Linked DNA regions of Mytilus edulis. The protein of the gene in region 1 interacts with the protein of each later gene in a pairwise test. Links are inferred from orthologs where the notes say so. Each region holds a gene or a part of one and is shown in the gene's direction. Other genes may lie near its edges.

Region 1 (7,273 bases):
TTTTAGAATTAGGAAATTGTTTAGATCTGATATTTTTTTCGTGCATGCAGCATTGTCTTCCTTTTCTTTCTCTAGTTTGGTGATTTTGTCTAAACATTCTTTCAACTGCTCTGTCGAATCTAGTTGGTTTTGACTTTTCACTAGTTTGCAGGTGAGAGTTCTTATAGTCTCTTGTGCACTTTTTAAAAGTTCTGATTTTGCGGAAACCACTGATTTATTTTTCCGTAATTGAATGTTTGCTTGTTTTAGTTCGACTTTCATTGGGGCTGCCTGGTCGAAAAAGTTCATGAATGCTGAATTTCGCACACTGCTGAATGGCAATTCCCTGAGACTGTTTTTATTTGAATAATACTGTATTAAACGGCGATTGTCTCTAAGTTGTTTTTTTGTTGAATTCTTTTGTTCACTTGACACTTTCGAACTTGTTGATTTAGTAAATCGAACTTTACCGAATAAACTTGGTCTAGCTGTGAAACACTGTCTTGCGAAATGTCCGAATTTGTCGCACGAGAAACATCTTTTGTTGTAAGCTAGACACATTTCGAAACGATGATGTGCAAGTCCACATTTACCACAAACTGGATATTGATGTGTGAAATGATTCTGTCTCCACATACTCCACTGCGGTCTTAGATTAAAATCCATCACTGAAAGTTGATACGAAGATGGGGAAGAACTCTGGTCGCTTGACTGCTGAGGTACGCGGTACCGTGTGTTGTACTAAAAAGACAACACGCCTCTGGATTACCTCCGCCAAATGTGACAACGTTGTTGTAACTGGAATGTTTGATACCGTGCAACAGGTTCTGTTGCTGAAACTGGCGAAGATGCCGAAACGAATGACAGTGACCGAAGACTGGTCCCCTGCCTATTGAACATAAATCCACTGGCGGAACTAACTCACAGACTGGTAGAGCGAATACAAACGAAGACTTTCAGTATAGATTTTATTTTCACTTTAATGAACGGATGATGTCAGTTCAAAAGGCTGACTCCGACTAAAGAATTAACTTCAGTCGAAACATTATAAAGATAGACAATGTTTACAGGTTGTCAAAGAATTAAGATTACATAACAATAAAGTTGACAAATTTTACAAACATAAGATTAACACTTTAAAGTAACAATAGACCGTAATTGAAAAACGGATTAATGTCATTGTTATCAAACATGTCCTGGACAAGAACTGATAAAATATATATTGAAAAGAATTATCTATGTACGACATTAACGGATTAAAATAATTATGAAATGAAATAGTTGTGTAACATAAATTAACACAATCCCTTGTATAGTTTTTCTCACAGTTTTAGATTAAAAAGTGACACACATGAAAGATCTTTAAGAATGCAAATCAAAGTACATTGTCTGTTGAATTAGAATGAAATTGTCCGAAAGATTAAACAGAAACTATAAATAATATAAGAAACAAGTCCAAATGTCCGAAATAAGAAATACATAAATTAGTGCGACTTTTTCCACGTTCACATATCTATGATGAGTTTATTTACTTTCGAATGATTTTACTTATACTTTATATGAAAAAAAGGATGTCCAATGCTAGATTTAAGTACAACTCTTTGTAAGAACCAGGAAGAGTGCGATATATGAAGGTTTCAGATTTTATCTTATAATTGACATAGTAGAAGCAGTAAATAATGAATACTGCTCAAAAATAATTATGAGTGGGAAAATATGAATGGTTGCCATGTTAACGAACAATCTATTTTTTGGTTGTTAAGAGTAGAAAAAGCTTTAAAAAATCAGCTAAATCACCGCAATTTAGAGCCTGATTATGAATAGAATCATGTATTTTTCATTAATGTTCATATGTAACATTGATACAACTTGGTTTAAGCTTCATTTTAGTGAAGATTGCATGTCAGCCAAATGACAAAATGTCGTGATATTTTCAACTTTTCTGAAATTGTTTTTTTTCTTCTTCTAAATTATCAAATTTTCTCTGGTGTTTTTTTTTAGAAAAGTCCAAATGTGTACAGAATAGTTAGCACTGTAGTTATGAAGTTTGGATACTACTTTACCAAATTAAATGAAAAAAAAATACGTGGGATTTTCTATAGTTTTATCACCATAGCAACCGATTTTTTATTTGCAGAATATCGCAGTTTGAGAGCTTAAATGTCATAACCGATAAAAATATATAAAAGCTAACGCAAACTTTAAATTACTATCGTCAAGTGTTGTTGACTTCAATTGTTACTATGGAAACATATATTATCTATAGCAACATCACCTCAAAAACTGCATAATTAGAAATTTATGTAAAAAAATATGTAAATAGAGTGTTTATTTTCAAATTAGAATATGACTTCACTCTTCACTCACAGTCTTGTCTTATTTGCCCCGACTTTATTCTAAAATATCCTATAAATCTCATTCATAGAGTTATACACATGGGAATACAATATGAAATAGATGAGGAACAATTTGATTGGGAACTCATGTTTGTTTTAACACAAACAAGAAAAACCTTAACCATTGTCCTTACAACAAAATTATTTTTAATGTTTAAACCCGCTGTATCTTTTTGTACCTGTCCGCGGATAAGTAAGGAACCTGTTGTTCAGCGGTTGCTGTTTGTTGATGTTTTTCATAAGTGTTTCTCGTTTCACATTTTTTAATTAGTTAAGGCCGTCGGGTTTCTTGTTTGAATGCTATTACACTAGTCATGTTTGGGCAATTTATAGCTAGCTGTTCGGTTTGAGCCAAATAAGGCTCCGTGTTGAAGACCGTACTTTGACCTACAACGGTTTACTTTAACAAATTATGACTTGGAGAGTTGTCCCATCATGCTCATTGGCACTCATACCACATTTCCCTTGTAGATTTCGAAAAAAGAGCAACATAATGCCTCTACAAGGTAACACTCGCACGCGCAAAAAAAAAGAAAAGTAGGTAAGTAAGTATAAGTAAAACTATATTTGGACTCGGCATATTGACAAACAGTACAAACATAAGCTCTAATGAGCTATTCACCGAATATAAAAACATATGCAATAACAAATAAAACAAGGCATGCAGAATAAATAATAAAATGCAGCACCAGAAATTAAGAAAGGGATAAATATGAGTTTCAATAACGTGTTCCCCAATCCACTATACATATTATAAAAATGTTTAAACTAAAACTAACTAATCTAACATTTTCTTATAAAGTTGAGCCGGGTTGATCATTTTTCAAACTTATTCTGAGAAATACATGTAAAGAGGGGCGGCATAAAGTGACGACAAAAAAATAATAATCAGAAAATTAGAATGATTTATATAATCTATGCGATACAAAAAGCAGTAACATAAGCCAAATCATACAATGACTACACAAATAAAACAAACCTAAATGATTTCATTAAACACGGAAATTATAGCTTTTTCATAACCGAAGTTGGTTAAATATTAAATTTTAGTCATTATCATTGTCGTGTTTTCAAATACGAATGCATTAAGGTCAAGGAACAGTAAATGGGCTATGTCGCAGATTTTGTTAAAAAATTGCATACAACCTTGGCTCGTTGAACTACAACTGAAAATCGAAAAATTTATACATTTATCTCTTTTATTTTCTGAAAAATTGCAGATTGATTTCTCTTAATATGGGTGAACATTTGTATATAGGAAGCACATAAAATCGACTAAAAACCTTCTAAAATTTGTCTTTAAATCGCCAAATCTATAATTCTACTCCATAGATTTTTCTTAAAAAACTATATATTGTTGACACATAAATTTCTGTTTTAATGATATAAAATAATCATAGGGTCACCGACTTCGTTTTTTGTCTAATAATCATTTTGCTACCTTATTGGTAGTGAAAAACGTCAAAAATCAACGTTTTACGGCCTGCAACGCGATAACGTTACGATTATTTCGACGTTTTGTTGGTTTTTTTCACAAAGAACGCATCTTTGAATGATATATACCGTAAAAACGAAGTCGGTGACCCTATCTTTATTTTGCATCATTATAACGGAAATTTATGTATCAACAACATATAGTTTTTTAAGAAAAATCTATGGAGTAGAATTAGAGATTTGGCGATTTTAAGACAAATTTTAGAAGAGTTTTCGCCGATTTTATGTGCTTTCTATACAAATGTTCACCCATTTTGTAAGAATTCAATCAGTAATATTTCAAATGATAATTGAGATAAATGCATTATTATTTCGATTTTCAGTTGAAGTTCATCGAGCCAGAGCTGTATGCCAAATTTTACTGAAATCTATGACATAGCCCATTTACTGTAACTTGACCTTAAAAAATACTATTGAACGTTGAAGAAAAATTGTTTGTGTTCCCTTCTGGTTTTGCAAAGCAGAAGTATTTAGCTGATAGACCATACAGACGGTGCTTCATTAGCTAGCAGGTATACAGGTTTATGAACTCAAAATATTTAGAATTTTTTGATTTTAAGATTACCTGTAAGTTACGTTAATGCCAAAAGTAGGATGATGACACGAACGTATACCCTACAACTACAAGCTGATCGGCATAAAATTCAGCAGATATGAAATTGCTCCAACTCGTCAAATGTGCAATCAAGAACCAGAAGACCTTACTCATATGCTTACTACCTGCTCAGCATTAAAGTGAGACAAGAAAAGAAACTTTCAACCAGATAAAAACTTATGTAACCAAATATCATTGGAGGAATGTCAAATGAAGTGGAAAGAGAACATTCATTGATAGACATAAAATTACAGTCCTTGTAATTGACTGTACAAACTTCACATATATATTTAGTGAAAGCAAGCTCAAAATAGAAGAACTATAGTCGCCCTCAGTTGAAATTCGTAGCGGTTATCGGTAAAAATAATCTAACCTATCAATCGCTTTCACTCGAGATATAGTTTTTCACATTCCATTCATAAATCGCAAAAAGTCAAACCACTACTGACCTACCTTTTAAGTCATCACACTGTAGTAATCATAATATGAGGCAGCCATTACCTGTGAATGGGGACGAAGTCTGTAATTTTTTTTTTTAATTCAAACATGTTGATAAAAGAAACGGAAATACCGTAACGTTTCCGATGTTGGTTCTGTTGTAAGGGGTTTAGTTGTGACGTTATTTAAGTTATGACGTAATATTCAATGTAAACATAGAAACGCTGTTATCCAGGTAACGTTTTTTTCATATCAAACAATTATTAAAAATGATTGGGTGTTGATTTCCTTCCTATATAATATTTGTTGATATATTGATAAATATACATTTTATTCAAAGTCTCATGCAAACAAGACCGGAAACGGAAGAAGACTGGAAACGGAAGTAGATCTGAAAAAAAAGTTAACGATTTTGAGTTCATTAGTACAATGAAAAATTCGGGAAATTTTCCCGAAATTTAAAAAAAAAAAATTTTTTATTGATTTTTCTACCGTAATTGGGGACTTTGTCCCCATATAATCCTGACCTTCACATTTTCCAGAATGTTTTCCATTGTAATTCCACCATCTTCTTTCTATGAGGATCATTAGTTTACATATGATATTCGTCACTTACACAGTTTCCTGAAATGTTCTTTTCATTGATGTGATAAGGTTTCCCGCGCTTTATGCAAATTTTATGAAACTGATCTCCACGGAAGCACTTCCGGTAAAAACAATGGCGGATTCCACCATTCAAAATCGTCTTGGAAAATGTGAAGGTCAGGATTATCACATTGCAATCACTTAAAAGGTAGGTCAGTAGTGTGGTTTTTCTTTTTGCGATTTATGAATGGAATATGAAAAACTATATCATGAATGAACGTGGTTGATAGTCTAGATTAGTTTTACCGATAACCGCTACGAATTTCAGCTGACAGCGACTATAAAAATGCTCACAAGAGATATGTGCTACAAGATGCATAACACAACACTAAAACTGATAAGTGTGTATTGGCTGTTGACAATTATCAGTCAACTCAGAAACTTAAGTCTATTTTAGATTTTAGCAAGTGTTTACATATATTCACAGAGTGTGTACATAGTTAAAGACTTTTATCCATATTACCCTCAAAAGAGGGGTGTTCCTAAAAGAGGAAGATGAAGAAGAAGAAGTTAATAATGTTTTATGCATATGGTTCATCAAAAATTATCTGTAACTTGTTAGGTTCATAATTTATAACAACTTAGATATACATGATATACAGATACACAACTTGTTCGACCACAGTACCATTTCATCTATAGCCGTTTTGCCCTCTTCATTTGATAATGTTCTATTTGCAGCCCTACCCTATGATTATGATATTAAAATAAGTCAGGCATTAGAAGCCACTACCTATCTAAAAAAAACCCAGCTAAACAGCCATACAATCAGTGGTTTTGCTAGCCCTCTTCACTTTCATAATTTACGAAATGGTTTTCGCATTGACTAAAGTAATGTATTTCAAATCAATTTCGTTATTTTTTTTTTAAATTTTGGAAGTGTAAAAATATTTTCACATTAAAATACTTTAAATTTACCTGTCTTTATGTTTTTGACAAGTTTATGACCCTTAGGTAATTTACATTTACAGGTGTTACAAGTTGTGATTACAACTAATCCGCTTATTGCCATCCTATGGGTCACTAATCTGTTAATTATTTATAAACCTCATAATTGACCATCACAATTATTTTCCCCAGGAAAATCAGTAAGTCTGCATTGCAACATCCAGGAGTATAGTTTCTTCATTTGATCAAAATTGTTTCCCCACTGACAGTTCACATTTGAATTTTAATACTTCTCCAACGATCACAATTTGAAGTTCCTTTGTCGTAGATTTATCAGTTAAACGCATTTTCGTCATATTTGATATGAGGCTGGTCATCAACATGATTTACATGGTCATACTGGTATATACATGTCCAAAAATGATTTAAAATTCTCATCCAATCAAAAAGATTGGGAAATTTTAAGATTCTTTGAAAACAATTAAAAAAAAAAGAAGAAATAAATTTTTTACAAAACAAAACTTAAATTTGCATGTACAAACCATGTTCAAAACTGTGTTTGTATTTCAATATCATGCAATGATTGCTTTCAGTTTGTTGTTCATGTTGTTTAGACAGTGAACTATGTCTTCACCAGAAGTAGAAAGATTTGAGGTTACAGAAGATGATTTGGCAAATGAATTCTACCCAAGAATGGGAAGGAGACAGACCAAAAACCAGGCCATATATGGTATGTAAAATATGAGACAGAATTTGTTATAAAGTCAATTTATTATTTATAACATCAAGGGAGATAATATTGTAAAACATTGTTTTTTATTTTGATGTCAAAGCTATA
Region 2 (7,388 bases), on another chromosome or scaffold:
TAATAAAATAGTCTTGGGAAGAAAATGCAGACGAAAAATATTAGTTTTTCAACAACTGTTGCCATTTCGTCTGTTTACCTGTTAACGACATGAAATGGAAAAACCCAAGAAGGTTTCGAATTCAACAAAATGAGAATGAATAAAGGAATGATAAATATGATCAAACAGGATTTCCGCACTCATTAAAATCACTCGAGGGGCACAGTGTTAGTTTTGCGACAATATTTTCCATCCTATGCAGGATATATATAAGAGACAATATCTAAAAAATTGTAAATTTTTAGTAGAAACTAAGTTATATAATGCACCATGTCCTGCCAATTAAACACTCATTCTTATATTTCTTCCAATAAAATATTGTAATTTAAATGTTCAACCCCCCTAAAATCATGTTGTCCCCTGTGTTTTTTTGAAAACTAAATCATTCAAATAATATCCAAATTAATTAAACAGGCGTCTGATTCTCACATATATGATATATTATATAATAAACTTGCCCCTAATTTGTCTTTTTATATTATAACTATAGCATGTAATAAAATTTTGCAAATTTTAAGAGAAAACAAATTTGTCCCCAGGGGTGATTTGCCTCCTGTTACCACTGGTTTTTTTTTTACCTGTGGAAACGTTTACAAGACCAAGAGTTATTTTCCCATTATGTATTGTGAAGAGCATCATTATGACAGTTTTTGTCCATTCGTTTTTGATGCGTTTTGTTATTTGATTTTGCCATGTGATTATGGACTTTCCCAATTGATCTTCCTCTAAGTTCAGTATTTTTGTGATTTTACTTTTTCCTGAATGCATTAGTACAAAGAAATAGTTGGAAGGCGGCCAGGTTTGAAAATTCAAGCCCATCCAAGGTAAGAATTTATAGAAAAATACTTATTGGTGTTCTATCCTGTTACAGCCTTTTCTTACACTTTCTGAGAATATTTTTAAGTGTGCACCACAGCATTAAGTGTGTTTTTATATCATCTTTTTAAAAGTTATATGTCACAGGAAATACACTTACATTTAATGTGATAAAAAGGACAAAAACTATCGCGTAATTCCTTTCTGTTACGTTCCGTCATGTTACCTGGTAAAAAGTAACAGCATAACCATCATCAGTAACAGGAAGGATGTTCAAGACAATGTCACTGAAGAATCGAAAAGTTAATCTACTATATGCCAACCATTTCATTTAATATAAGTTATCACCACCATATTAAATAAATTTCAAAATAAGATAAAGTATATTGAATAAAAAAATTGTTTTTTTGCTTTTGATAACAGCAGAGAACATTGTGCAATTCTAGTTTAGTAGATGGTAACAGAAAGGAATTTATTTTAGAATTTTTCATTACCTAGGCAGATTTTTCATCTTGCAAATACAGTTTCAAAGGATAAATGACATTGTTTGCTGTTATCTTCCAATTGTGACCAATTTAAAATGATGTATTTTTCTTAAACTTTAAAATAAAGCAGAAAAATCCTTTCTGTTACCAACTCTGTCCTCTTACCGTTGTGCTGTTACTCAAGATTCTTTCATGTTACCGACATATGACATATCTGACTATATTTAAGTATATTTCTAAACCTTTTGTATTGCAAATGCTAAAATCAATAATTGGCATTTGATAAACTATTGCAGGATATACTAGTAAACCACAAATATTGTCTTAAACTTATTCCTTATTCCCATTAGAAACTTTTTAAAATTGATTCACTTTGGTAACAGGAAAGAACTGGATTTTTTTTGTACCATTTTTATAATAGCCATTGTTTCCTTATTAAACAATTGTTTGAATTACAGACAACAGTTCCTAGATCCCCAATGTGTGTTCTTCGATTTGTGCTATTAAAATACTGGGTCTAAACAAAAAATTTTTGTTTTTTCTTATTTCCAAAAATTAGACTTTTTCAGATATTGTCTCATATAAGATAAGATATCTCATATATTTTATTTCCAATTTAGGGCCCACAAGGGATAGAGAATACAAGTATAAGGGAACAGAACATTGATTATCATAGATCTATGCATATAGAATTTAAATTACATACACAATTACAATACAATTAGACTGTAAATAATAAAACACTTGGTTTAAAATATATATGATATATCTATATGAGAAATTATTACATCTAACTCATATTGATTTGAATATGAAGAAGGGGATGAAATAATTTTAATTACATGTTAAAAAAAATTGGGTGCTGAACGAATCTTTATGTTAAGAAGTGATTTGGTCCAGTTAAAAATGTATAATTTTAGTACGTCTGAAGCTGTCAAACTGAATTATGACCCCCTTATCACAGAATAGTCATTATTTTGAGTTAGAGCTGGTAGAGGTTTCTATAATTTTGATATTATTTGTCCCACTAGTAGTATACTACATTGTAATATCTTTTTGAGAAAGAGCAGGTGCGATTTTTTCAATTTGAATTTATTGTCTAAAAGAAATGCACTACGAAATAACTGTGTTCTCGGGCCAGTTGAAAGCCAGCTACAACTAAACAAAATTGACAAATATCACGACTTTTGTGTCTAATCTAGTATTTGTTGATAGAAACGAAATGATCTGAACCAAAGTTTTAGATATCTTTTCTATATAAAAAGGGGCATTCAATTATATCCAATACTCCATTCACTAGGGATGATATACTAGTGTACACATGACATTTGATAATTTTAAGAGAGTTTTGACGGCTTCTCTCGGCTGGCGAGCATAACTTTGTTTATTTTTTTTATAAAATAAAAATATTTTTGAAAACAATTTGTGTAGACACGTGCCTAACGTGACTAACGGTAACTACGCTCATTCAAGAGGGTTCGACGACTTACAGAAAAGAGCGACGATTTACAGAAAAGAACCGAAAAGGACCGAAAAGGACCAAAAAGAACCGAAAAGGACCGAAAAGAACCGAAAAGGATATCGACTTTTTTTGTAATCGAAGGAAATAAGCAAATTGCAAATCATTGAAAACCTTATACTGTGAGAGGACTAATTTTAACTCACATGTATGTGAAAAATTACAGGTAGGGTTGGATGCCTATTTTATAGAATAGAAAAATAGAAAAGATTTTTTTTTATTCACCAAATAAGGGCCCCTAGGAGGGCATATAGCCATACAAACAATATATATATATATATATATGCAATACACAGACAATAGATAGATATGTAATATGAGTAATGAAAAAATACTACAGGAAACACGCAACAAAATAATAGCAATATACTCTAATAATTCAATAATACTAGTGTTGACATTGACTTATGCGCTCCAGGTTTATTAGTGTATTTTACCTATAAAAAGATAAACAATTTTCTAAATATTTACCTTAACAAGGACTGTTGGCAGTCAAAACTTTAACACTATAAAAAATCCATGTATATATACATGGTTTTAACTTTATTTAATAAATATATATGTATTCCTTTTCGGTTCTTTTCGGTCCATTTTCGGTTCTTTTTGGTCCTTTTCGGTTCTTTTCGGTTCTTTTCTGTAAATCGTCGCTCTTTTCTGTAAATCGTTGGACCGCATTCAAGAAACAACGTAACTGTATGCATGGGAATAATAGTTTGTATGTTTGCTTAGTCCAGACTCCAGGTTAGGGAAATCGTATTACAAGTATTTGAATGTAATACATGGAAGGGTTGAAATTCCGTGTACGTCTTATTTGACTATAAATAAAAAGATACCTACAAATCGCGTATGTCGACCAAAGTAAATAAATCGGTCAGTGGTAAACTCAGTGAATGTGACATTATGTTTTGATTTTTTCCTGAAAATATAAATATTGATATGAATAGGTCTTTCCAAAGCTCTGATAGGGGCAATGCAGAATATTTGGCCACGTGGCCATCACCAGAAAAATAAAAAAATAAATTCAGTGGTACAATAAATTCCACAACGGCTTACCATACGAAATAGTTATGTTTGCCAGATATCGGTCATTGCCAGCCCAAATTAAGTTTGTGTTGTCCCTAATCATGCTAATACGATTCCGTAGGATTAAGTCTATTCACAGGGATGAAATTATTTTGGCAAATTCAGGAACTATCAAAAGAAAATTTTATTCAAAATTTAATATTAAATGGTTTATAATCATTAAATACTTCAAACTTTCCTTAAATACTTGTCTGGGTCGATATAAGATGGTCCGAGTTGACTTAACATAATCGGTCCAAAACTTCTCCGAACCGACTTGTCCAATAATCTTTTTAACGCTAAGGTAACATTGATGTTGATTTTTTAATACTTATAAATGATTTTTTAATTTAAAAAAATCGGCGTATGAAGTTAATTAGCAGTTTTAGCTGATTTTGATCACAGTATGATTCCGGTACTAATTTGTATAATACAATCATTCCTTTATTCGCACACTGTGGATTTTCGGAACTTCTCTGGACCTAACGATCTCTTCCATATTAATTGTCAACACGTGAAACCTGTAAACATGGGAAAGGCAAAGAAAGTTAAAGTATCTAAAACTGAGGGCGAAACCGACAAAACCCAAACACTTGCAGATCAGATCTTAACAGATAAATCAGTTAAACTCAAAGGCCGAAATAAAATTCGTAACAGAAAGGACGAAGATGATTCGGTATAAACATGATATAAAGCATGATAAATGCTTTATTACATAAATTAGGAGATTTAATGTTAATCAAACTAGTAGCAGATGAGACAACACCAGAGTGCTAATGACGTGGACACAAGAAATTAAAAGTCATCTAAGGTTTTCAACAATGCAAAATACTAAACAGTCGATCAGCTATAACATGATAAATATTAGTCCAAATAATTATGACGTCTTGAAAGGCTATTATAATTTTTTTCTTTGACGCCTTACAAAAAATTATAATAGCCTTTCAAGACGTCATAATTATTTGGACTAGATAAATATAGTGCCCAGACAAGAGACAGGCTTATAAAATAGGTCATTTCTGGGGTAAATAATAAATAAATAAGCTTTATATAGAGTTGGCAAGGTATACAAACAAAGACAACATTAGCTCTAATGAGCTTTTAACCGATATGACATGGTCATGGGTACAAACCAAATCAGATCCGGGTCAATTCAGCTAAAGTGTGGCACGTTAAAACATATTTTGTGAGATCTCCCAATACCTCTAGCCAATGACGAAAAAACAAACACACAGCAATATGAATCCGGGTCCGTTCGCCCTGATTCATGTTCGCCCTAGTACCTGTTCGCCCTGATACCTGTTCGCCCAGGGTCCATTCGCCCTGATTTTTCTTTTTTTTTCTTATTGTTGTCTAGTCGCATTATTTTAAGTATTTGAACAAAATATGTTAAGTTTGTTGAAAAATTGACAGAATATTTATATTGCCGCAATCAATTTATCATTTTCACTTTGATTTGCAGAGTAGAATACTGGAATACAATGTATTTATCTTTATTGATATTTGTTAACAAAATAATTGTATTCAGTCAATCACAAATGTATGCAGTATGACTAGTCTTAGAGTATAAATAAATGAACTTGTAAATCCTTTTCATAATTAACAGTTCGTACATCATTGTTTTTATTAATTTCAAGCTGAATATTTTATCAAAACAAAACGTTTGTTTTTATTATTAATTCATCAAAAGACAATGACAATAATCAGTGATTATTTTGTCATTGAACAATTAACGATCCTAAACAAGCCATAAACTTTTAAATATTTCAATGTTTCCATAAATTTCAAGAATATACAAGATAAATATATCATAGAAATATCTGAATAAGTTTATTCAACTTCAATGCCCTGAATATTAATATTTTTATAGGAGGGCGAACGAACTCTGAGCAAACGGACCTAGGGCGAACATGTTATAGGGCGAACAGTCCCGATACCCAGCAATATGCACAGTAAAAATCAGCTTAAAAGAAGTCTGTGTCAGAATAGGTATCAAAAGAAACTAAGAAAAATGACATAATGTCTTTATTTTATTATGATGCCTCTTATTTTCTTGAATAACTTGTTTAAGTTCCATGTACATTGTAGCTATAGACCTTTGGCTGATAAATACCTCGGCAGTCCAATTAATTATTGTAACAACCTAAACTTCAAAACAGCAGAAATAAGTCCATATGAAACATTCATTCAAGAAAACAGTTTTTTTTTTGAGGAATGTGCATGCGCGTGGTACACCATTTACTTCAAGGTCAATCAGGCGCGTAGCTCCCTATACGCCAACACGCAGTTGCGTGCACATCAATTCGGCATGCAAAAAAAATAAATTGCAAAATAAAAATTTATAAATTAAAAATATAAAGGATACACATACGAGTATTCAAATGATATAATGTCATTAAATAGCGGCATTTGGTTTCAAAATTAAAGTTTTATTGCAGATGACAAAAACGGACAGTAACTTGAATCTATTACAAGATTATAATTTGTTATACTCTTGTAGTTTCGGAGAACATTTTACAGAGTACGGTTTATCTGTTTCGAATGCGATGTACCAATCGGCCATTAGATTTATCAGAACCCTTCGATATCGTTAAATATGCCGATGCAATGTGACTATCAAAGCCAATCACCCTGCAAACACGCAAAAACAGTCTTGGAAAGTCTCATTATATTTTGCGTCCATAGACCACATGATAATTTACGAGTAATATCTTTAATTAATATTCTTTAATATTGTTAAAAGTAGTATAACACTATAAAACGTAGCATAACACCAGCAACTGTCTTTTTCTCGGGATATATCAGTTTGTTTTGGGGATATAATGTTTTTCTTGTATTTCTCGGGAAATCGTGGTACCGGAAAATTGTTTGTTTTTCGGGTTTTGGCCATAGGACGGTTAATTAAGAAGCTACATGTACATAGGTACATGATAATTTATGGAACTGGAGTCGCGTCTGATATCAGTCAGAAAAATCACTGCTTTGCGCATATCTGCTTCCTCGTGTTGTAGGAAATACAACAAACGAACAAATCACAGCATTGTTTGAGACAAAAGAAACTGACTTGTCATGTACATTTTGTAATTTTGACAAATTCAATCGGGAGGTCGCTTGATGGCGAACACGCTGGATTACATATCGCGGGTGCTACCGCAGAGAGATCGTTCATTGTACTACGTCTGTTGAAAACATATGTACGATTAACAACGAACAACGACGGTTTAGCATCGCTAGCATTGCTGCATATTCATCGGGATTTTTGTGTGATTATTGACAAAGTAATAAAGAAGTTCGTTTCTGCTAAGACCCGAAGGGCAGATTTTTGACAATTTTTAGTAAATTCCATAACACAAAAATGTGTTGTTTATGTATTCAATTAACCATGCTTTATTCTATTTAGATGTTCTATTCAGAAGATTTTTGAATAGTTTTGCATTCATGAATTATGTATAAGTCCTATGTACGTC
Region 3 (7,833 bases), on another chromosome or scaffold:
ATTATTATGGTTAAGCAGATGACAAAAAAAATTATTATGAATCCGGACTTTCCCCTGTACCTTATAGTGTTATTTTTTTTTTATAAAGAACTAAAACATTGTTGCTCCCTTCCACAGTTACAGTAAAACATTTTTTTATTTGCTTGTAGGTGACTTCTTCGACAGCAAAGAACCATAATCCTCCTTAGAAGACGATATGATAAACTGAAACTTTCCATTGTTATACTGAATAGTCCTTCTCTTAGCTTTCGTGTCTCTTAATTTATGATTATCTCTAACTCTATCTCATTTTCATTCTCCACAAATTCACGTGGATTCTACAGTTTAATTATATTTTATAAAAAAAGAAGACGCGATTAAAATCTATAGACAAAGACAAACACACTTTGCTTTTTGGTAAAAAAAGAAACTGACAAAACCACACTCAACACTAGTCAGGTTTATACAGTATATACTACTAATCTATATAGAAATCTGGCAGGACAAGCTAAAAAAAACACCCTCAACACTAGTAAGGATTATACAGTATATACTACTAATCTATATAGAAATCTGGCAGGACAAGCTAAAAAAAACACCCTCAACACTAGTAAGGATTATACTGTATATACTACTAAGATATTTTATTTTTCCAATTATGGGCCCCAAAGGGCATAAACATTACAACATCAATAATTTTTTTTCATAATACAATACAAACAATGAGATAATAATAAAAAAAAAAAAGGTAAACGAGAACTATTTAAGTTCTTAAAGAATACGTAGATAAAGAAATCTATAGTATGTTTTTTTTTTTTTTTTTTAATACTAATGCATTTTATTGCAAGTGTGGTTGATATAGATAACAAACAAGCAGCCCAAAAAGAAAAAAAGAAAAATAGATATCCACATATGTATAGTACACAAAAAGTTGGATCAATTAAATATATAATAATTAGCCAAAAAGAAAGTAGAAATTAAACATGTCCATGACTCATCCTGTGTCAGCAGCAAATAGGAAAGCATTATGGTTTCCTAAAGGCAGCTGACACCAGGGGGCGATACCTTATGGGCCATAGGCATGTAAAATGTGTGTAAATGTCTCTTTCCTACCTGTATCAAAAGCAAACAAGGAAGCATCATAGGTAACTTGAATGCAGTTGATACCAGGGGACGATGCCTCAAGGATATAAGAGAACATTTGAATAAATAATATATCTTAACAATTATTTTAATCTATTAATCTATATAGAAATCTGCAAGGACAAGCTAAAAAAAACACCCTCAACACTAGTAAGGATTATACAGTATATACTACTAATCTATATAGAAATCTGGCAGGACAAGCTAAAAAAAACACCCTCAACACTAGTAAGGATTATACAGTATATACTACTAATCTATATAGAAATCTGGCAGGACAAGCTAAAAAAAAACACCCTCAACACTAGTAAGGATTATACAGTATATACTACTAATCTATATAGAAATCTGCAAGGACAAGCTAAAAAAAAACACCCTCAACACTAGTAAGGATTATACAGTATATACTACTAATCTATATAGAAATCTGGCAGGACAAGCTAAAAAAAACACCCTCAACACTAGTAAGGATTATACAGTATATACTACTAATCTATATAGAAATCTGGCAGGACAAGCTAAAAAAAACACCCTCAACACTAGTAAGGATTATACAGTATATACTTCTAATCTATATAGAAATCTGGCAGGACAAGCTAAAAAAAACACCCTCAACACTAGTAAGGATTATACAGTATATACTACTAATCTATATAGAAATCTGGCAGGACAAGCTAAAAAAAACACCCTCAACACTAGTAAGGATTATACAGTATATACTACTAATCTATATAGAAATCTGGCAGGACAAGCTAAAAAAACCACCCTCAACACTAGTAAGGATTATACAGTATATACTACTAATCTATATAGAAATCTGGCAGGACAAGCTAAAAAAAACACCCTCAACACTAGTAAGGATTATACAGTATATACTACTAACCTATATAGAAATCTGCAAGGACAAGCTAAAAAAAACACCCTCAACACTAGTAAGGATTATACAGTATATGCTACTAATCTATATAGAAATCTGGCAGGACAAGCTAAAAAAAACACCCTCAACACTAGTAAGGATTATACAGTATATACTACTAATCTATATAGAAATCTGGCAGGACAAGCTAAAAAAAAACACCCTCAACACTAGTAAGGATTATACAGTATATACTACTAACCTATATAGAAACCTGCAAGGACAAGCTAAAAAAAACACCCTCAACACTAGTAAGGATTATACAGTATATACTACTAACCTATATAGAAACCTGCAAGGACAAGCTAAAAAAAACACCCTCAACACTAGTAAGGATTATACAGTATATGCTACTAATCTATATAGAAATCCGCAAGCTCAAGCTAACAAAAAACAGACATGTTTAAAGTACACTGTTTATCCTCATTATAAAAACTAGAACAAGGTTCTGTTTATTCATATTGACTAGAAAAAAAACATAACAAATAAAGCAAGTAAAAACTATTTGCATAATGATGTATATTTGTCTTGTCATACGTCAATTATAATATTTTGGCCACGAGTATCACTGAAGAGACATGTATTGTCGAAATGCGCAAGAAAATTGGAACCGTTAATTTTATTATAAAATCTTATAACACTAAATCAATGTGTTATTTTAGATAAAAGAAATTACGAAATATATTTTTTTTAATTTCCAGATCTTATTACTATTTTGTAACATGCTTGATAATCTCAGGGAAATGCAAAACATTTGATAGTTGAAAGGTGCAATGATTATCAAGTTTGGGAAAATCATGATAATCTCATACGTTGTCGTTATTTCTTATTAACGTTTTTTATTTTTATTTTTTATTTTTTTATATTTTTGAGGGGTTGAAATAAGGCCTATAGTGCATTACGGTATCTATATGCCCCTGTTTCATCAGGGAAAAAGTTGTATTCTATGTCAGTAATATTCATAGTGCTTAAATAGTACTGTCGCATGAAAGTTTCATAAAAAAAAAATGAACTCAAAATACACATTATGTATTGCACATAAAATACTATTTTTTTCTCTCTCCTGTTTTATTTCAAACTTATCCAAAGGCTTCTGTCAAATGATATATCATACTTGTTTGTGACATGCAGATCCCTGTTTGTGTTTCAACGGTTATGTCTTTACCTGTGGTAATATGTACTGTTAAATTTATGTACTGTGTGACGTGCATTTTTATGAATAAGTAATTTTTTTCTCGGAATTTTAACAGGATTTTTAAAGATCTGGAAACGACAAATAAAGTACGAAGTTAGGAACCGGTCAAAATTTATCGTCACATAGGACCGGTGCAAAAAATAAAAACATTTAATAAAAGTTACAACCCTATGGCTTTCTGACTGAAAAAAAAATGATGTCCTATGCCAACTTAGTAATAAAAAGGTTGGTGTCCTATCCTACTTTTCCAATGTATTGTAAATAAAAATATACTTAATAGAGGCATTTAACATATGTTGTCTTTATAATATGATCAAAAGCAACAGTTTCATGTTTTATTTTGTTGATTCACATACAATTACATGCATGGCATTATCATAAATTATACTATGAATATATAAGCATTGAAAAAAACAAAGACATTGAATAATGCAATAAAACCACAAATAGGTGTTTGCTAAAATGAAAAATTAATGAAGCTGCATGTATCTTATATAGAATTTTATCAATACCTTTAAATATTAATTATAAAAACAAGCTACAGGAGAAACATGAAACTCAATAGCATTTGGTTTAACTCTCTCTATATATTTGAACCTGAAGACCCATAGGTTGCCTAATTTTTTGCCAAATGTGGCTTCATATTCTGATTTTTTGTTATGCACTATTTTTACAATATTACATGTAAGTAAAAAAATATGTTGTACTGTATTACAAAAAAGTCTATATAATTTATAAAACATTTAAAATGATTTTAGAAAATAAATACATATCTGTATCTGGTTACAATTGGTTGAAAAATTTGGTAGGGGGTTTAGAAGTTATGTTTCTATATCCTTGGATAAACTAATAAAAAAGAAGGCAGGACAAAATCATGAGAATGAAAAATGAAAACGGGCTTGAAAGAGATTACAACTATAAAAAAAATGCAGGACAAAATTTATCACCCACTTGCGCATATTGTCTTTATACTGAAATTTGCATCCTACATCGAAATGTCGAAATAACATAAAAAATGTGGTGCACACTGTTAAATAACCCGCTACGCGCGTTATTCAGTGTGCACCAATTTTTTTATGTTATTTCTTCATAGACAGAAAAAATATTACAGTCATTTCTTATAATTTAATTCTAAATTCCATCTTAAACCGTAGAAAACAATGAAAAAACGTTGATGACGTCACAGTCACATGACTAAATTATGTCTATGGGCTCATAAAAAAAAATTAAAAATAAAAATTGAAAAATATTACTTACATATACATTTGTATCATAAAAATTGAAAAATTATTAAGAAACCAAAAATATATATTTTTAATCATTAACAATATTGTTAAACCAGGCATGCGCCGGAAAGTAATGATCAGTAATCATCAACCAGTTGATGTTTTTCTGTATATAAAGAAGAAGAGAAGAAGAACGTCAGCCAATCAGAAGACGCGTTACATCCAAAATTAAATTATACTAATATATCCTCTATATGATATAGAAAGTCCCTGGTTAAACTATATATGTCTCTGGTTAAACTGAACAAAAGTGTGGACTACGAAGAATAACTCTAAAAAAAACCAAAATCCAATTCCCGCATTTTATTCTAATCTTTACCGATACGAGCGGAAGATTTCTTTGTACACAATATTTGGTGACGTAAAAGTTTAAAAATTTCCGGGAAATTTGATATCTGGTTTGCAAGCAATTTTGAATAATATCTTGGTAAGACTTTCAGTTTACGATAATACTAAATAATGTTTCGATAAGATGAGAACACCTATTGGGTGCTGTCGAAAGAAGTATACTGTACTTCAGATGGGTCAACAGGCACTTGTTTCTTGTCATGTAAATGTCTATAAATAATTTATTTGACTGTAAACACTACTACAAATTATTTATAACTAGAGGTACTTGTTTCTATGATATCCACTGATATCCACGAGAAGGACAGGTCGACTATCCAAATGTATTTTTTTACAGAGACACATTCTTGTGGCTGATAAAGAAATACAAAACTTACACAATATCCATAATATCATATTCTGTTTGGTAACAAAATAGCAAAATATCTAAAAATAGGTATGATGTAATAGACACTGTATCCTTGCATTGGTATGCATTTTATGTGATATTTAGAATGAAGTCACATGTTGTGGGGCGCTGTCTTCCTGAGGATAGCGTTCCAGTGTACTAGCACTATAAAGTCCTGCAACTACGGTAGGCTAGCACAAAGCAGTAAAAATTTACATACACCCTTTGGTTTTATATTTATTTTATTTTATTTTATTTTACCTATCATTTTTTTTTAGTACATACAAAACAACTCACTAATTATTTTTGCAAAACTCACATACACAAATTTAGGCTTATTTCGGTTTATACAAAATATTTGGCATATAAATTCACATACACAATTTGGCATATCAAAATTATCCGCTCTTTACTTGGCTGCTGGTGTACCAGGACTACCAGGAAAACGTTGCTGCCGTTCACTGCTGTTTGCTTAGCCTAGCTTTCCTCCTGTTCCTACTTCTGGTGGCACCATGTTTATTAAATATTTATTAATTTTTTTTTTTTTATTTTTTTTTATTTTTTATTAAACAAAATTATCTTATATTATTTTATTATATTTATTTTTATATTCTTTTCTTTATTTATTTACTTATTTATAAAAAAAATTATTTATTTATTTATTTAAATTTTTGTTTATTTAACATTTTTATTAAACTTATCATTCTAAATTATTTCAATTACCACATGGTAAAAATTAAATTATTTAATGCCCAAAAAGGCGCAAGCCAGGGCAGACCATGCAAGGGCTGTATAGCCAGTCAAGGTCGTTAAAAACTTCCATTTGTGGCTGTATTGCCTACACATCCTATGAATGTCATTTAAATGTGACTATTGCGTCTGGAAATCCAGCAATCCTCTCTTACCCAGAGACATATGATCACATCATGCACAAGTTTATATGTCTCTGATATACATGTATCTCAGACAAAGTCAGGCCTAATACTTATGCAAGTGGTAAATATTTACCTTTACAGGTGAAATCCTTCAGTTAAAACTTGTCATATAGTACTACTATAAGTTATATGGTTCGCTACTGACCCCCTACGGATCCATAGAGGGTTAGTAAAATCCATAGGGGGTGAGGCCGGAGGCCGAGTCCCCTATGAATTTTATTCACCCTCTATGGATCCGTAGGGCGTCAGTAGTTAACCGTATAACGAATTTATTGGACGCTTGACTTTTTCTACGGCGTTTTGTTGAAAAATAAACAATGAAACACAACAACATTAATAGATGACGTCGCCATTAACACGTCATGAACCCCATATGAAACTTACTAACCCCATACGTTTAACCAATCACAACGTGATAATTCATCTGTGGTCCGATAAAATGTATTGATTTCATCTTAATCTGGTGCTTATGTATTTCTCACAGTCCTTTGGTATATATTTTTAGCATCCGGGATTGGGATTCAGGCTTGCTAGATCTAAAAATCACCTTGTTCTTTTTAAATACTCTATAATTAGTTTGGAAAAAGGGCTATTTTGTCATATAAGTTAAAAAAAATCATATTTTCTTCTTGTTTCAATTTCTTTTGACTGCATTGCTGTAAATGTCAGAGTGATTTTCTGTAATTACCGTAATACACATGTAGATGTCAATATACTATTCATAAATGTATAATTTCATGGACAAAGAACTTAATTGTCTTTTACAGGTCCACTTATATAAATGATATCATTTCCAAACACCCAAGGAGCAAGTTTTGAAGGCCTTGCACAGCAACTTTACATCCATAAATGTACATGTATATCTTTATTTTTCCTTGATCATGAGTTAAAGTTGAACTCTCATTAAAAAAGTTTTAGTGATACAAAAATAAACCAGAAAAAATATATAGGACATATAGGTATATGTATTGACATAAAATAAGGTTGAGAATTTAAGGTGCTGTGAATATAAATTACTTGTAAAGTACAATGTATACTTTTGGAGAAGGTAAAAGGGAGATAAATCAAATCTTGAGATGAACATGAAAATCATACAAAGGAGTAGGTTCAGTAAGACCCCTTATTGGCCCCAAAATATAGCAGTTTTACAAAATTGTGAAAATGTAATCTTTAAGCTATTTAATGGAAAGTAGAATGCTTCAGCTAGATAAATATGGGCTGTTTTTGACAATACAATGCACATATATCGGTTAGTAGCATCAATAAGTCGTGCTTAATTACTGAAATCTTCACAATTTTAGCATTTTAGCTAATTTTAGATGGTGTCCGTCTGAAATGAAAGTGGCCGCATTCGTGTTCATTCATAATATTGAAATGCAAGTTGTATTTGATGATACTACATAATATATATAAAGTTGAGGATGAACACAAAAAAACATTTGAAAAGTGACGTTTTTTGGCATATATTTGTTAGATTTTTCATATTTAAACTTGAATCCCAGCTTTTTAATGACTAAATCAGTTAAAATCTTTCACTAAACTAATCGAATCAATTGAAATAGACACTTAAAGGGAAATCACACTATTGTTTATACGCATAGCTCTCGGCGCCGCTATAGTGTCGTGACTGTATTGTGACGTCC
Region 4 (7,454 bases), on another chromosome or scaffold:
AGCTTTATAAAATAACTCCTATAAAGACTTACACACCATTCAGCCAGATCTGATCTTTTGTAAAGTTTGGACAGGCAGCTATTGTAGTTTTAGTCCTCAGCTGAAAATAAAGTGTAAAATATACATGTAGAGTACAGTCAGATCTGATCTTTTGTAAAGTTTGGACTGGCAGCTATTGTTGTTTCAGTCCTCAACTGAAAATAAAGTGTAAAATATACATTTGTACATGTCGATTACTGTGGATTCATTTATTTTCGTGGGTACCAATTTTCATGGTTTGAGGAAAATTTGCATATTCGTGGATATTTAATTTCGTGGTTTTGGCAAAGTCTGCACACATTACTTTAGAAAATTTGTAATTCGTTGAATATCTAAATTCGTGGTTCTCCTGTACCCACAAAACCATGAACATGATGAAAATTAGTATCCAACGAATATAAATGAATTCACAGTATTTTTTTTACTATTCATGAAAATACTATTTTCAAAAAATCTTTCACAATTTTATAATTTATTTCCTGCCAAAAACCATATGAGTATTTTCAACAGATGTAAATTACCAACAGTTGATAGTGTTGTGTTATAAGTATTACATGCAAAAAATTTTTTTATTTCAAGCATTGACATTCATTTTTTTAATTTTTAAAATGTTAGATTTTCATATTCATGCATCATGTGCATAGAAACAGGAAAAGACTTTCTATGAAATGGAAATAGCATTATAATCATGATACAACATAGTAATAAGACTATGATTCTGGTTCATTTTCCGATACCAATATTTTTGGGGATTAAAAATAAATAGCATTTTCAGGGATATCATATGGATATCATGGTTTTGCCTGCAGTCTGTATACAAATCCTATAAAAAAAAACTTTGTTTAATATTAAATAAGTTGTTTTTCTATATTACCCATGATATCAATGAATATAGGCAACCCACCAAATCATTATTGAAAAATAATTTGACATAAAAAGAAATTGTCAAGAGGAACACAGCCTGCATTCATGTTAGAAAATGACCCATATTTTCATGACAAATATTCTGATAAACGGTCATGCAGGTTTGATATGAAAAAATACAACTAACTGAGCGAAAGCTGTTGATGTGGAAGATGCTAGATTTGTTCATTTATTAGGTTTATATATTCAACCAATAAGTTAAGGATACAGGTCTATTTGGACAGAAGCTTATAAGAGGGTTTAAAGGGTTATTTTCATGCAACTTTTTTGCCATTTTTATTTCACGTGCAGCTGTGAAAAAGGTTCGTTGTTCACTGTGTTTCATGAAATCAGTAAAAAGATCAACCTGCAACCATTTTTCAATTGTTCGTTCATCGTGAAATGGCTATTTTGTTGGTCTCATTGGGGTCTAAGTGTGACGTGGGATTGCTGATTTTTTTTGTAAGCGTGACACGTGAAAGTCAAATTATTGTGCCGTGAAAACGGGAAATGAAGTCTGGCGGGACACTGGAAATTACAAAAAAATGAGAATTCCTTACGTACATAGTGTAAGCGGGATACGGGAATCTGACACAACAATAAGCGGGATCCAGGATCAGAACCCCCCCCCCCCAATGAGACTCCCAATTTTATTTTGTGTTCTTCTGTGCACATACCCCCCTTTACACCCCTCTTATAACTATGCCAAATAAATAAACATTAGCTGCATATTCACCATGTTCACAATACCTCATTCTGATGAAGTGTCACACTAACTGAAGAGTTCAATGGCAGTATCAATTTCTCATTTCTCTTTCCCCCTGAAATTTAGAAAAAAAAATTATTCATTATACATTTTAAATTATAGGTCATTTTTAAATTATAATTCATTTCCTATTCATTTATTATGATGATCATTTATGAGGTTTTATAATGATAATTAAGGGATTAGTGACCCATCTGATTGGCGATAGGCGGATTACTTGTCATCACAACTTTTAACACCTTTTTGACGAAATTGATATGAAATATTTTCGTCATTTCTAAAACCTTTTCGTAAAATACGAAAGTGACGAGCGCTAGCAAAATCACTGCCTATTGCCTATATTGTAATGTTTTAAAAACAGGCGACCATGTCTAATGATGTCACATGAAAAGAACACAATTTTCCACAAATCTTTGAAAAGGAATGATATTTTTTTAGATATCGTCTACAAATCATTAGAGAATTAGATTTTACTACTATCATGACTATATCATGTGTATAACAATACCTCTCAACTCTCAACAGTAAAATTTTACATATATTCAAAACGCATGACAAGACTCAAAATTTAACTGTCTGGAGTGGAGAAATACTGTAACACACTTGATGCAGTTGTGGAATCTATATATCATGTATATAAATATAAGAAGATGCTGGTTTTTTTAAAGCAATTCTCTATTCCTGATTTTTTCATAAGCTGTATATATTGTTAACATAATTATAACACGTCTAGTGTGTTTATGAAGTTATACATACATGTATGAAACACAAGTGTGCACAAACTGAAATGTATCACCTGCTTTTATAACTGTGTTTGATATTTTGTTGGTACATGTAGTCATACATTTTTACTACAAATATCACATAAACTTAAGTCTTCACATTATCATAATCCATGAAATGAGTCAAGGTCAGATAAACCATTTACCAATACAGACAGACATGTAGTTATTGTACACTTTAAATCTTTTCATATATACTAAATATAGTTTACATATTACATATAGTCATGATACATGTAGTAAACAAGAAAAAGACCAGTGAAACCATGAAATTGTAATATTGAACAAAGAACATGAAGAACAATGAAAAAGAGGTATAACTGAATAATCATGTTTTTATTTCAATTTGAATTATTAATGTATTTTACATTTGCATGATTAAATTGATTGATTGGTGGTTACTTAACGTCCAGTGGCAAATATTTCATGCATGTTTTACATGGTTAACATGGTTTAAGGACATGAACTAATTAACAATTAATAAAATAGGTAGGCCCTGTCACAGCCTCACAGGTGCTTGAGGATAGGATCCTGTATGAGCCCCATATAGTACCTCCCCCTTATTATCATAAATCTCAGATTTTTCGATACATATATCACTTATGTGTACCATATATATACTAATATATCATATTTTTACTATAAATATGCATGTTTACTATCAACGTGAATCTCAACTATAGCGCTCCTGTCCTCAAGCATCTGTGGGCCCTGCTGCAACAGACCTACATACGAGGGGGAGGACAGGGGTAAGGAAGACAGGGAGAAAGGGGTAAGGAAGACAGGGAGAAAGGGGTAGGAGAAAGGAGAAAGGGGGTAGGAGAAAGGAGAGGAAGGCTGGGAGAAAGGAGAAAATGTTTGAGAAAAAAATTAAATATGAAAAAAATTAAATATGAAAAAATCTTTTTTCCGGTAAATTAAAAAAAATAAAATAAGGAGATGAGGGGTAGCAGAAAGGAGAAGAGGGTGGGAGAAGGGAGAAGGGTACCCCCCTGTCCTCCCCCTCACATACCCCTAAAGGATCTGAATTTTCAAGGTAAATGGCTACTTATTCGACCTTTACTGCTTTTGAATAGTAGCACCTGGCCCTTTACATTTACATTAAAACTGCCATTGATACTGTAGTTCCTTACAATATTTAATAACAGCAATATTTACAGGTCCTGTGCAGGTGTCACACTGCATTTCCTGGCTTGTGTAAGATGAAGGAAAACTGCTGAAAGCTTCCGAAAGTAAATATTATTGACCGTGGCCTGTATTTCATATTTTTTTTTTTTTTCAATCATATGGTTTTTCGAGATAACTAATTGCAGATAACCACAAAATTTTCTTTTTTTACGAATTGGTCTTCTCTTGCAGCTGTTTCTGTTTTATTTAATTAATGTCCGTCGTTGTATGTATGTACTGGTAAATGCCTCCGATATCCGAAGAACCCCTCGAAAGCTGCGAGGGTACAGTGGCATCCATGTACACTCCCTAACGGGATTAATGGAGATGTGTCACTAACGTATATTTATACGACAATTATTTTTACAAGGACAACCAATCCCCACCCAATTCAACACAAAGGGAGTGCTAGGACACCGGGAAGTCTGTTATTGTGGTGGAGGAAGCCGAAGTACTCGGAGAGAACCACCGGGCCACTCGGTGGAAACAGACAAACCAGAGAGATATCAGAAGATTGATCTCCAGGTCAAAGTAGGGACACTTTGACCAACCGAGGCCCCCAACGTACCCATTCTAGTTTAAACTCCGGTCTGGGTACCAGAGATGTGTGTGAGAGGGTGAAAATTACCCTTCTAATGTACTGAGATTTTTAGCACCCCGAGTGAGAATCGAACTCGGGACCTTCAGCACTGTAGCCATCGGTCTTAACCACTAGACCACGAACCGTTGTCTTTCTATTTAAATTTTCTTTTATGAAATATTAGACAAAACTTGACTTTCGGTTTTTTCTAGGGTTTTCTTTCCATTCAACTTAGAAAAATGGCAGCCCCCATGCACAGGGCAAGAGTTTCTTCTTGGAAACTGTTTTCTCGACAATATAGAAAAAAATCGACCAAAATCATACACCCATCAGAGGTAAATCATCCGTTTCAAATTTTTTTCACCAACCACGTTAATTTTTATCTTTTTTGCCACCTTAGCTTGAACTCTGAGATTCGTCTGACATTCGGTTACACAATCATGACATGAGGGTCAGGTAATGGGGGACCTTCATGACGAATAACGGTAAAAATTCTTGTCAAATGATGTTAATGGTAATTTTTGGCGCATGACACTTTCTTTTAGACGAGCTAATTTTAACCAATCACAGTAATTTTTTCCCTAAAAATGACGGTAATGATAATTATTTGAAACCTCTAACGAATCGCGAATCACGATAAGGATAATTTGATGAATCATGGTAAAATTTTAACCAATTTGACGCTAACGGTAGCCGAAAATGACCGTTTCACGCCTGATGGTAAAGGGCATTACTACCCTCAATCATGTCATGATGTCCAGCTGAATTTAAATATGAGGCAGGCACAACCTGTGAATGGGGATGAAGTCTGTATGCATTATTTTTTTGAATTCAAACATTGATAAAAGAAACAGAAATACCGTAACGTTCCGATTTTGGTTCGGTTGTTAGGGATTTAGCTGTGACGTAGTCTAGCTGTGACGTTCTTAAAGTTAATATGAGGCAGGCATTACCTGTGAATGGGGACGAAGTCTGTATTAATTTTTTTTTTAATTCAAACATGTTGACTGATAAATATATATTTTATTCAAAGTCTCATGCAAACAAGACCGGAAAAGGAAGTAGATTTTTTGCGCGAATGCGGGGAAAACTGGAACAGGAAGTAGATCTGAAAAAAAAGTTAACGATTTTGAGTTCATTTGTAAAATTTTTCTACCATAATTGGGGACCTCGTCCCCATACAAGTTTTCCTCTATACTTGTTATCTCAATATCTGTATTATTCATACCCCAACACTCCTGACCCAAAGACAGGTCGGACCACATCCACTCTGACCATCTAAAAAAAACAATTCAGACCATATAAGAAGACAACTCAGACTGTCAATAAGACAACTCGGATCGTCTATAAGAACAACACAGCCAAAGTGTTAAAGGAGGATTTAAACTATACATAAATTATTATAAATTATTAAACAATATATTTTAGATTGCAACATCATTTCGCCATGTTACTGACTTTGCAAAAAAAAAACAACACCAACTCGGATCATCTACAACACTCAACATGCTAAATTGTCTATATAGGCATCGCTTCATAGAAAGTCCGAGTTATTGTTATTTATATAAATTGACTGTAAAACTTTCATCAGACATATAGCTTTCACCCTTAAATCATTTATTTCATCAAAAGTCTTATTTTATACTTAGTCTGAGTTGTTATTATAGACGGTCCGAGTTGTCTAATTGACGGTCCACGTTTTCTTATTGACGGTCCGAGTTGTCTTCATAGACTGTCCCAGTAGACTTTAATGGAGACAGTCTTAGTTGTCTCCTGGCCGACTTCTCTTGCACCCGTCCTTGTAAACATTGTTGTAATAAAGTTAATCAAGATAGGGCATGTAGGGAGTGTACACAGATTCTACTGTACCTTCGCAGCTCCTAAACATGTGCCTAAAAGTGGCTTTAAAACACAAAAAATCTTATATCTATGACATTTATAAACAAACATACATTTTTCGCTGCTTTGAAGACCCATTGGTTGTCTTTGGCTGTTGTCTGCTGAGCTATGGTCGGGTTGTTTTCTCTTTGACAAATTCCCCATTTCCTCAATTTTATACAATGTAGGTAACTTCACAGTTAGTTCGGCCATATTGAATAGGGGAGCAAATTTGTTTTCGAAAGAGGTGGAAATGGTTATATATATGAATTTTTTTTTACCTTTTGATAGATAAATGCCTATGGTTTCAGGAAAGGTATCATTCTAATGTATTGAAATTTTAAAAATATTTTGGTTTGCCCAAACCCTACCCAAACATGGAGACAGTTAGGTAGGTAGGCATTTTCTTTTTCTTTTTTTGACAAAGAGAAATTTAAGTATTGGACATCATGGACATGTTGGATGTTTAGAAGTCTTCATCATATTCATGCATATCTGATTAAAAAAAAATCACATGAGGACAATAAAAGATTTTGAGTCTGCAGCTATTTTCTGAGTAGGTAGGGCAAACAAACCTATTCTTTTGTTTGACCCAATTATGGGGACTTTTGTGACATTTTCACACCCTTTTAATTATTTTTGCAATATTTTGTATCAAATAAATGCAGATTGTTGCTATATTTACACCAAAAAGAGAATTTTTCACCATTATCACTCTTGCTCTTTCAATAAATATACACATATATATAAAGCCTTATTTTTCAGAAAAGAAGGAAAAGAATAGTGGTTAAAAATTATGAGTGTCAATTTATAGTTTTTTTCCTAACTGTGTATTACTAATTTTATGACTGGTCAAACCGAAACGTGGTAAATCATCATGATCATGATTAACATTCATTGACACTATGTTGCTAGTAACCTACTGAAGGCTTTTTTGTTATGGCCCCGCAACAAAGTTGTCAGGGACATTTAGTTTTACCCTTGTCCGAAATTCTGTAATTCCGAAATTCCATAATTCTGAAATTCCGTAATTCCGTAATTCCGAAATTCCGTAATATTGAAATTCCGTCATTCCGCAACAAACCATTATACAGGTTTTTTTCTAAACAGCTTTAGATATTGGACTTATTTTTGGTATGTGAGTTAACCATGATGAGTTACAGATCAAGTTTGAGTTTCGTTCCGCTTCACTAGTTTTTGTCGAAATTACGGGCTTTGGACTGAGAAACTGTTGAAAATCTCAGCTATATGGTTTTTTTTAAGGCCTTTAGATTTTGAGCAGATTTAGTATATGTGAGACTACCATCTTGTTAGTGTCCGCATGTGTTGTTGAAATTGC

What was found.
Region 2: the proteins of tuftelin-interacting protein 11-like (region 1) and bystin-like interact in binary tests that used the Homo sapiens proteins (3 or more experiments, as listed by UniProt). The link is inferred for Mytilus edulis from reciprocal best matches to the Homo sapiens genes TFIP11 and BYSL.
Region 3: the proteins of tuftelin-interacting protein 11-like (region 1) and kinesin-like protein KIFC3 interact in binary tests that used the Homo sapiens proteins (3 or more experiments, as listed by UniProt). The link is inferred for Mytilus edulis from reciprocal best matches to the Homo sapiens genes TFIP11 and KIFC3.
Region 4: the proteins of tuftelin-interacting protein 11-like (region 1) and ribosome assembly protein METTL17, mitochondrial-like interact in binary tests that used the Homo sapiens proteins (3 or more experiments, as listed by UniProt). The link is inferred for Mytilus edulis from reciprocal best matches to the Homo sapiens genes TFIP11 and METTL17.

Annotation. Positions count from the first base shown.
Region 1 is NC_092353.1:62,694,745-62,702,017, forward strand, and holds the start of tuftelin-interacting protein 11-like, read left to right. Parts: upstream 1-4,269; 5' UTR 4,270-4,381; intron 4,382-5,596; exon of another isoform or gene 5,597-5,695; intron 5,696-7,028; 5' UTR 7,029-7,059; coding exon 7,060-7,165; intron 7,166-7,273. UniProt on the Homo sapiens protein: Involved in pre-mRNA splicing, specifically in spliceosome disassembly during late-stage splicing events. Intron turnover seems to proceed through reactions in two lariat-intron associated complexes termed Intron Large (IL) and Intron Small (IS).
Region 2 is NC_092355.1:40,791,295-40,798,682, reverse strand, and holds the start of bystin-like, read left to right. Parts: upstream 1-4,387; 5' UTR 4,388-4,450; coding exon 4,451-4,597; intron 4,598-7,388. Other genes in the region: 17-beta-hydroxysteroid dehydrogenase 13-like, read right to left, coding at 1-65. UniProt on the Homo sapiens protein: Required for processing of 20S pre-rRNA precursor and biogenesis of 40S ribosomal subunits. May be required for trophinin-dependent regulation of cell adhesion during implantation of human embryos.
Region 3 is NC_092348.1:92,546,883-92,554,715, forward strand, and holds the start of kinesin-like protein KIFC3, read left to right. Parts: upstream 1-4,827; 5' UTR 4,828-4,946; intron 4,947-7,833. UniProt on the Homo sapiens protein: Minus-end microtubule-dependent motor protein. Involved in apically targeted transport. Required for zonula adherens maintenance.
Region 4 is NC_092348.1:13,935,909-13,943,362, reverse strand, and holds the start of ribosome assembly protein METTL17, mitochondrial-like, read left to right. Parts: upstream 1-4,454; 5' UTR 4,455-4,476; coding exon 4,477-4,572; intron 4,573-7,454. Other genes in the region: diphosphomevalonate decarboxylase-like, read right to left, coding at 33-100, 1,693-1,763, 3,624-3,675. UniProt on the Homo sapiens protein: Mitochondrial ribosome (mitoribosome) assembly factor. Binds at the interface of the head and body domains of the mitochondrial small ribosomal subunit (mt-SSU), occluding the mRNA channel and preventing compaction of the head domain towards the body.